Linked DNA regions of Macaca fascicularis. The protein of the gene in region 2 interacts with the protein of the main gene of each other region in a pairwise test. Links are inferred from orthologs where the notes say so. Each region holds a gene or a part of one and is shown on either strand. Other genes may lie near its edges.

The links. The genes of interacting proteins can lie anywhere in the genome.
Region 1: the proteins of ZNF277 (region 2) and GNGT1 interact in a two-hybrid assay, tested with the Homo sapiens proteins (3 studies listed by BioGRID and IntAct). The two-hybrid records come from large-scale screens. The link is inferred for Macaca fascicularis from reciprocal best matches to the Homo sapiens genes ZNF277 and GNGT1.

What each region holds. Positions count from the first base shown.
Region 1 is NC_088377.1:127,422,358-127,426,792, reverse strand, and holds the start of GNGT1 (guanine nucleotide-binding protein G(T) subunit gamma-T1), read left to right. Parts: upstream 1-1,893; 5' UTR 1,894-1,971; intron 1,972-2,062; exon of another isoform or gene 2,063-2,065; 5' UTR 2,066-2,073; coding exon 2,074-2,169; intron 2,170-4,435. UniProt on the Homo sapiens protein: Guanine nucleotide-binding proteins (G proteins) are involved as a modulator or transducer in various transmembrane signaling systems.
Region 2 is NC_088377.1:153,718,436-153,722,827, forward strand, and holds the start of ZNF277 (zinc finger protein 277), read left to right. Parts: upstream 1-1,045; 5' UTR 1,046-1,060; coding exon 1,061-1,151; intron 1,152-4,392. Other genes in the region: DOCK4 (dedicator of cytokinesis protein 4), read right to left, coding at 446-482. UniProt on the Homo sapiens protein: Probable transcription factor. Involved in modulation of cellular senescence; represses transcription of the tumor suppressor gene INK4A/ARF, perhaps acting via the Polycomb group (PcG) complex PRC1.

The DNA of each region.
Region 1 (4,435 bases), about 26 Mb from region 2:
ATTTGGGCTCTCAAATACAAAACAGGATTATACAGGAAGAAATAACCTTTGTATAGTCATATTGTTTCTTAAAGAACGGAATAGCAAAAATAAAAACATAGGAATCACTGGGCTCAGGTACCCATAGTGTGTTATTTTCTACCTCTATGTTGGTCTAGGTAGACATTTTTCCCTTAAAATTATCTTAAACTCGAGACCATCCTGGCCAACATGGTGAAACTCCGTCTCTACTAAAAATACAAGTTAGCTGAGCGTGGCGGCATGTAACTGTAGTCCCAGCTACTCGGTAGGCTGAGGCAGAAGAATCACTAGAACCCAGGAGGCAGAGGTTGCAGTGAGCCGAGATTGGGCCACTTCACTCCAGCCTGGTGACACAGTGAAACTCCATCTAAAAAAAAAAAAAAAAAAAAAAAAAAAAAAATCTTAAACTACTACTTATCCAGAGAAGAACGGGATATTTTAAGACTGGGAAGGGAAACAATCTTTCTTCAAAGGTTTTGGAAATGAAAACATCATTTAAATACAAGGAAATAGGTTAACTGCTGATATATTATTAGCAGAGTATTTTCATGTAGATGTACAATGTTATGTTGTTCTCTGAAATATGAATACACTTACTTTTATAATAATACTTCATTACAAAAATTGGACTAGGGAGAAGGAGGAGACACTATAGGCACAATGCCACTTGGCCACTTGGGATAAAGGAAAGTTTTATCTTCTTAAGTTGAAGTATCTAAAAGCTGTTTTATTATTTATGTACTCAGGATTATTGTCTTGTAGGCAAGGTGGTCGTCTTCATGTTTATTTTTCACTTGTGGTAAGTTCACCTTGGACTTTTTATTTTGGGTAAACATCACTTACATCATCATTAATAAGGCTTTGGGGTTCCTTTTCCCCATTATTCAATTTCATAGCATTATCACCAGCTGTTGAGCCTTCTTCCCCATTACTCACTGGTCTAATTGGGGAGAAGAGGAATTGCGAAGAGGGCGGAAGAAAAAGTCTGTTCTAGTAGGATGTTTATTGGTAGATCAGACCTGCCATGTCCCCTTAACCTGCTAAATTTGGTCATCATTGTTACCAGATTCATTGTGACAGTTACAGGCAAATTCCAGGTGTTGTTGGAAAAACACTTATAAGTAATACACTAGTTTATTTTTGATTAAGAAGACTGTTTACGGAGGGGCACGGTGGCTCAAGCCTGTAATCCCAGCACTTTGAGAGGCTGAGACTGGCGGCTCTCGAGGTCAGGAGATTGAGACCATACTGGCTAACACGGTGAAACCCCGTCTCTACTAAAAAATACAAAAAACTAGCCGGGCGAGGTGGCGGTCTCCTGTAGTCCCAGCTACTTGGGAGGCTGAGGCAGGAGAATGACATAAACCCGGGAGGCGGAGCTTGCAGTGAGCTGAGATCAGGCCGCTGCACTCCAGCCTGGGTGACAGAGTGAGACTCCATCTCAAACAAAACAAAACAAAAAAACAAAAAAAAACAAACACTGTTTACTAGGTACACATTTAAACAATCCATTATTTATAATGAACTTATAGTGATACTTTTTATATGGTTCCCTTTTAATACCAGGTTAAATACTCTAGAGATTTAGGGAATTAATGGCCCGTCCTCCAAATGACCTCAAACTAAGTTAAATGACATAAAACATGTGGTGGAGGGTTTTGGAATTGACAGTAAGGATTGGAAACCCCAAATTTTACACTGTACGAAAGACCAGGGGCAAGAAGCAGCTTTAAGTATTTTAGATTATATACTGACTAAACTCACCCCTCCCAACAAACCTGTTGACAGGTGTTTAGGGTCAAATGCTTGACTTAATCATATTAGTGAAGATTAGGAAGAAGCTTTAAATTCCCAAGACTAGTGTGCATTGCTACAATTGTTAAGAGAGAGAGCTCATGTGAAATTGGTTGTCGTGGGATATTTAAAATAAAACAAAGAAGAGTTTACTTTGTAAGTTAAGAGCTGAGGGAATTGTTGGCTAAGACTGATTTGAAATAACTGCAGCAATTCATGTGTAGGTGCTAACCTTCTACACCTTCAGCAGGCAAAAAGATGCCAGTAATCAATATTGAGGACCTGACAGAAAAGGACAAATTGAAGATGGAAGTTGACCAGCTCAAGAAAGAAGTGACACTGGAAAGAATGCTAGTAAGTTGCTGCTTTCTTTAGAATTTTATTTTAAGCTAGAGATACTGTGGTGGTACCAGGTTAGAAAACATTGGCTGGTAAGGCTAAATGTAGTTACAAATAAATTGTTCATCTAAAAATGTATCAAAGATTAAGAAAATTGATAATCAATCACAACTATCTCTTGATTTAGATTCTAAATCGAAGAGGTTGGCAAACCATTTTCCTTTGGCCAAGCCCAATCCTTAGTCTCTTTTTGTATGACCACTAAGATAAGAATGCTTTTACATTTTTAAAGAGAAAAAGAAAGAAAGAAAGAAAGAAAGAAAGAAAGAAAGAAAGAAAGAAAGAAAGAAAGAAAGAAAGAAAGAAAGAAAGAAAGAAAGAGAGAGAAAAAGAAAGAAAGAGAGAGAAAAAGAAAGTAGGAGAATATGAGACAAAAACCATATTTTAGATAAACAATAAAGTAAATATGTGCATACAATAATATAGACATTTTGCTTTTACTTTTCTAAACTTCTCTTTATAATGCAATATTTTGATATTGATATTTTGATACAATATTTTGATATTGCTGCAATACTTTAAGCTATGATGTCATCCCCTCTTGCACTGTCATGGTCAGTAATAAATGAGTACATTCTACTCTTCTTTGGCAAATAAAGATGAGTTCAAACATAAGAACTCACTGGTTCCTCCTAAAAACATCTGACAAATCTTAGAAAGGGTTACCAACAGTTCACTGCCATTAGAAGGAGAAGAAATGGCAAAGGACTAAACCACCAAACAAACAGTGATGAAAGCTTGGAGGATGTAGATATGTATTTTAGGTCCCTTCATTTTAGGAAAATTATTAATAGTAGAACAAAACCTCCACAAGTGGTAACAATAACCTTATATTTTCAAAACATCTCATTTTATCAGGACAAAGTAAAAAAGGAGTTTGTGTTATCTTCATACTTGGTTCAAAATGCCTACTCCCAGTCAAAACTGGGATTTTTGGCTTCTTCTATGTTTATAATAATCTCAAACTCCCCTGTTGCCCTTTCCATATAGGCAAAACGTTTTGCTGTAAAGATAAAATTAAATCAGTACCAAGGCTTAGAACGTACACCAAATAAGTTAAAGTCCTTATTTTTACAATTCAGGGTAAATAAAATGAACTTTTGGGATAAAGGAAAGTTTTATCTTCTTAAGTTGAAGTATCCAAAAACTGTTTTATTATTTATGTACTCAGGATTATTGTTTTGTAGGCAAGGTGGTTGTCTTCTTGTTTATTATTCACTTGTGGTAAGTTCACCTTGGACTTTTTATTTTGGGTAAACATCACTTACATCATCATTAATAAGGCTTTGGGGTTCCTTTTCCCCATTATTCAATGTCTCTCTGCTCTTGGAAGTCAAACCAATTTAATATCAGACTGTAAAAACTCCATATACATACACACACAAACACACATGCATATAGATACACATACATATACATGTACTCTCTTAGTCTCCTCAGGGTGATGTACCAGAATACCATAGACTGGTGAGTTACAACCAATAGAAATGTATTTCTCACAGTTCTGGAAGCTGGGGCATCCAAGATTAAGGAACCAGCAGATTCAGTGTCTGGTGAGGGCCTGCTCCCTCCTTCATGAATGCCTGTCTTTTCATTTTGTCCTTACCTGGTGATAGGGGTGAGGAAGCTCTCTCGGGTCTCTTTTATAAGGACAGTAATCCTATTTATGAGAGTTCTGTCGTCATGACCTAATCACCTACCAAAAACCCCACCTTGGGGGTTAGGAGTTCAACAAATGAGTTTTTAGGGGACACAATTGTTCAGCCTGATACATATATATGATATATATATACACACACACACACACATATTATATATATAATATATAGAAATATATATGTAATATCTAGAAATATTATTTCTCTATATAATAGATAATAATACATATATTATACATAAAATGGAACTTCCAGGTCCTGAGCCCCCAGCTCTGACGTGTAATCAGTACAGTGTGGTTAAGTGGATATACTCTGAAACCATATTCCCAGCTCAGATTCTTTCTCCACAACAACTTTCTGCCTGTGTAATCCTCATCTATGTTAACTAACTTACCTGTGCCTCTGTTTCTTCAAAACAGCGATAGTAATAGCATCTAATTCAGAGGATAATTGGGAGGAATAAACAAGGTAATATACGCAAAGCTCTGAGAACAATGCCTGGTAATAGCAAGTGCTTTATGTCATTATGTTATTATTACCTTAAAATTATTATTGATTCTATG
Region 2 (4,392 bases):
ACCCAGGGGAACCGTTGCAGCTCCCTGTCGCTTTGGGGAAGAAGGGTAAGGAAGGAGAGAAACCCTGTTCGCCTCCTCTTCCAACTTGACACACACATACACACACAGAGACAGACAGACAGACACACACACACACACACACGCCCAGTTGCCACTCCAAACTCCGCAGGCAGAGCCCGAAGCGAGCGGGCCGGCCGCGCACTCCCCCAAGCTGTCCCGGCGCTCTGGGAATCTGTGCGGGGCGCGCCGAGCCCGCGGTGCGGGGCGAGAGCCTGGTGCGCAGCCCTCTGCCTGGAGCTGGCTCGGCAAAGCCCCGTACCCGCTGCGCGATGCCAGGATTAGGCATTTTCAGCCGGGCGGAGCAAGAGGGGCGCGGGGGCAAGGACGAGAAATGCGCACTCGCTCGGGCCAGAGCAGAATAAAAGTTCGCCCCGCGGAGACTCACCCACGCCGTATTTCTCGTGCTCCGTAGGTATCCACATGGCTAAAGGGGCTCCGGGGTCTTGAGGCTTTGTAATCCCCGCGCCCCTTCTCCGGTTCACAACAATGCACAGTCCCCGAGCAGCGCTGCAGCGCCGGAGCCCGGGGGCTTCGCGCGGGCTGCGGGCGCTGGGCAGGATCTGCGCTGGAGGCTCCTGAGCCCAGCGTTGACACTGCGCCGCCAGCAGCTCTCCCGGCGGCGGCTGCTCACAGTCCTCAGATGCGCTCCCGGGGACCCGGCGGCGCAGTCATTGTTCTGATTCACTGAACTAAGCGAACACGCCGGGGCACTCTCGGGCGCACCCCCGCCCGCCAGCGCCTAGTCCAGCCCTCCCGTCCCGGGGCCCCGCGGCACGCTGGGAATTGTAGTTCTGGGCTTCCCCATCCCGGAAGTGGGAGAGGCAATTGCGGTTCGAGGCGGGGATTCAGTTTTACTAATTACGTCCTATTGGCCCAGAGGGCGGTGTAGGTGTGGAGAAAACACAGCGTCGACGGGGAGTTCACCTCCAGTCGCATTTCTATTGGTGCCACCCCGCCTCTGCCCCGCCCTGCGGCCCTCCCTTTTCTTCTCTGCCGGGTAATGGCTGCTTCCAAGACCCAGGGGGCTGTCGTCCGAATGGAGGAAGACCGTGATGGGAGCTGCAGCACAGTCGGGGGTGTAGGTTATGGGGGTGAGTACGGTGCCCCGGAGGCGCGGCTGATGTGTCTTCCTTTCACTATGACCGGGAGTGCAACGGACCTCTGGTCTGACCCTAGGAGCCCTTTAGCTCTGGGCCGCCTGGGTTCAACGGGGCCCCACGGGTGGTGGCCCAGAGGGATGGGGTGGAGCCGGGGGCGGCTACTTGGTTGGGGCTGCCCGGGGAGGGCGGAGAAAATGCCTTGGAATGGCCTTCCCCTCCGCCGGGGAAGCTCCCTGAGCGTTTGTCTTCTAGTTTGGAGCTCCCAGCTTTGCGCTAGCTGCTGAGTGGGTTTGGTTTAGGTCTGGTTCGCGCGCATGTGTTTATAACTTTGGGATTAGCAGCTCTTTTTTTCCTCACCAGTACACTGCCTCGGTTTGCTTGGTTTGACCTTGCAGATGTGTTTTATTTAGCTTCCGTAGACTTTCCAGTCGCAGACTGGTGGTCAGTGCTATCCACTCTACACATTTGCCCAGTTTGTGAGTGAAGTGTCTTCTGAAGGGAAAGTATCTCACAACCTCCCTGTCGATAGTTAACTGCTCTGGGTGTTCTCCAGATTTGGATGTGGAGCCTGAGACATCTTCCCAGTCTCTGGGTCCTTAGAGAAAGAAAAGGAAAGTGGTAGATAATTCGCACTCGTGGCTTCAAAGAACATTTGAAAAGGGTTATGAAAATCATCACAACTTTGGCTGTACCTGACTTTCAAGTTGTCCTCTGATCCACTGTAGGAATAATAAACCAAATTTTGAAAGCTGCAGGGGGATTGTGTTTAAGACTCTTTTACCCTTAGTCTATCGCTCCCCCATTCCCCCCACCCCATTTTTGCCTTGGTGTGTAATTTAGCACAAGTTATCTTTTTCTGATGAACATGGTTTGGGGCTTAAATATGGTTCTCAGACTGTTGAGACTTTGTTTTTCGGTTTATTTGTTTTTGCTTTCACAGTTAAATTGATATCATCTTAAATATTTACCTCAGCGGCACAGAGATGAAGTGCAGTTTTTTCCCACTTCCCAACTGTGGAACTCCCTACTCTGAAATTATTTTAGTACCCCTACCAAACAAATCTTTGGTAGTCTCCTGAGTTAAATATTGAGTTTAACACCCTAATGGTTTATTATTGGGTTGGTTATATATTGGGCTATCGGATGGTAACAAACTATTAAATTTTCCTAGATTCTCAAAGTTCCAGAGGGCTACGAGTTTGAGATCAAAAGATACACTCTTTGGTGAATTTATCTCACAGTCTAACTTATTTTAAAAACTGCACTTTGGGAGGCCGAGACGGGCGGATCACGAGGTCAGGAGATCGAGACCATCCTGGCTAACACGGTGAAACCCCGTCTCTACTAAAAATATACAAAAAACAGGGCGAGGTGGCGGGCGCCTGTAGTCCCAGCTACTCGGGAGGCTGAGGCAGGAGAATGGCGTGAACCCGGGAGGCGGAGCTTGCATCCGGCCACTGCGCTCCAGCCTGGACGACAGAGCGAGACTACGTCTCAAAAAAAAAAAAAAAAAAAAAAAAAAAAAAAAAAAACTGGCCGGCGCGGTGGCTCAAGCCTGTAATCCCAGCACTTTGGGAGACTGAGGCGGGCGGATCACAAGGTCAGGAATTCGAGGCCAGCCTGATCAATATGGTGAAACCCCGTCTCTAATAAAAATACAAAAATTAGCTGGGCATGGTGGCGGACGCCTGTAGTCCCAGCTACTCGGGAGGCTGAGACAGGAGAATCGCTTGAACCCGGGAGGCGGAGGTTACAGTGAGCCGCAATTGCGCCACTGCGTTCCAGCCTGGGAGACACAGCGAGACTCTGTCTCAAAAAAAAAAAAAAAAAAAAAAAAAGGGTATGCCTTTCAAAAATGTAAAGTATTTAAAAGTATTTATTTTTAAATTTTAAACGTTTAAACGTTTTTAAAACATTTCAAACCATTCAGAAGTGTGTGAAGTAAAAAAAATGAAAATTCCTTCACCTCGCAGTACCACTTCCCAAGTATAAAGTGGTAAGAGTTTGGTACCTAATCTTTCCAACATAATCTTTTTTTTTCTTTTAATCCTACAATCCGTATTCTGTTAAACCAACCTATACTTATATGACACCCATCTGTACGGTTTGATTTTTTTTAATAAAAAGGATAAATCTAGGTAAACTAAAAGATCTGCAACCTTCTTTTTTCTTTCAGCAGTCTATCATAGAAACCCTTCCACGTCAGTACATTTGTTTCCTTTTTTTTTTTTAAGGACTGTGCCCATCATATTCCAAAATATGAATGTGCCATGCTTTAGCCATTCCCTTATAAATGAACATGTAGTGGGACTTTAGTTTTTCAGTAATGTTGCAATGAACAGCTTTATGTACATATATTCTTGCCCACTGGGTGTATATTTTGGGGGAAAATTGCTGGATCAAAGGTTATGCAAGTTTAAAATTTTGATAGATGCCAGACTTTACTCTTAAAATATATTCAGCATACATTGCCACCTGTAGTATATGAGTGTTCTTTCCCCCATATTGTCACAAACTTTGAGGAAATAATTAATCCAGGACCAATGTTTCAATGACTAGTGGATTAAGTAACTGATAGAAAGCTTAGTTTTTGGTTCCAGTTTGTTTTCAACAAAAGTGTTGAGTAGTAGCGAATTTGCAGTGTCTATAACATAAAAAAATTTCTCATCCTGGGTGAGAACTACCCAGTATTCTCATTGTCTTGTAGCAGTCAATAGGAGAAATTAATGGTTGATATTTTTATGTCATTCTTATAAAATTGTCATTAAAAATTCTGCTTAGTAGGCCCGACGCGGGTGGATTACGAGGTCAGGAGTTGAAGACCAGCCTGGCCAAGATGGTGAAACCCCGTCTCTACTAAAAATACAAAAAAAAAAAAAAAATTTCTGCTTAATAACCTATGTATTATTCTGTTACTTTTTCCAAAATCTTTTCAAAGCCAACAAAGTGTGTTATAAATTTTAGGTGTAAATATTTACATTAAAAGTATATTTTTTTGTTAGGCAGTGATTTAGGTTATCAAGGATGTCTTGCCCTGTAAAAATCATACACCTTTTTGGATGAGTTCATGACCTTTGTAGGGACACGGATGAAGCTGAAAACCATCATTCTGAGCAAACTGTCGCAAGGACAGAAAACCAAACACCGCATGTTCTCACTCATAGATGGGAATTGAACAATGAGAACACTTGGACATAGGATGGGGAACACCACACACCGGGCCCTGTCGTGG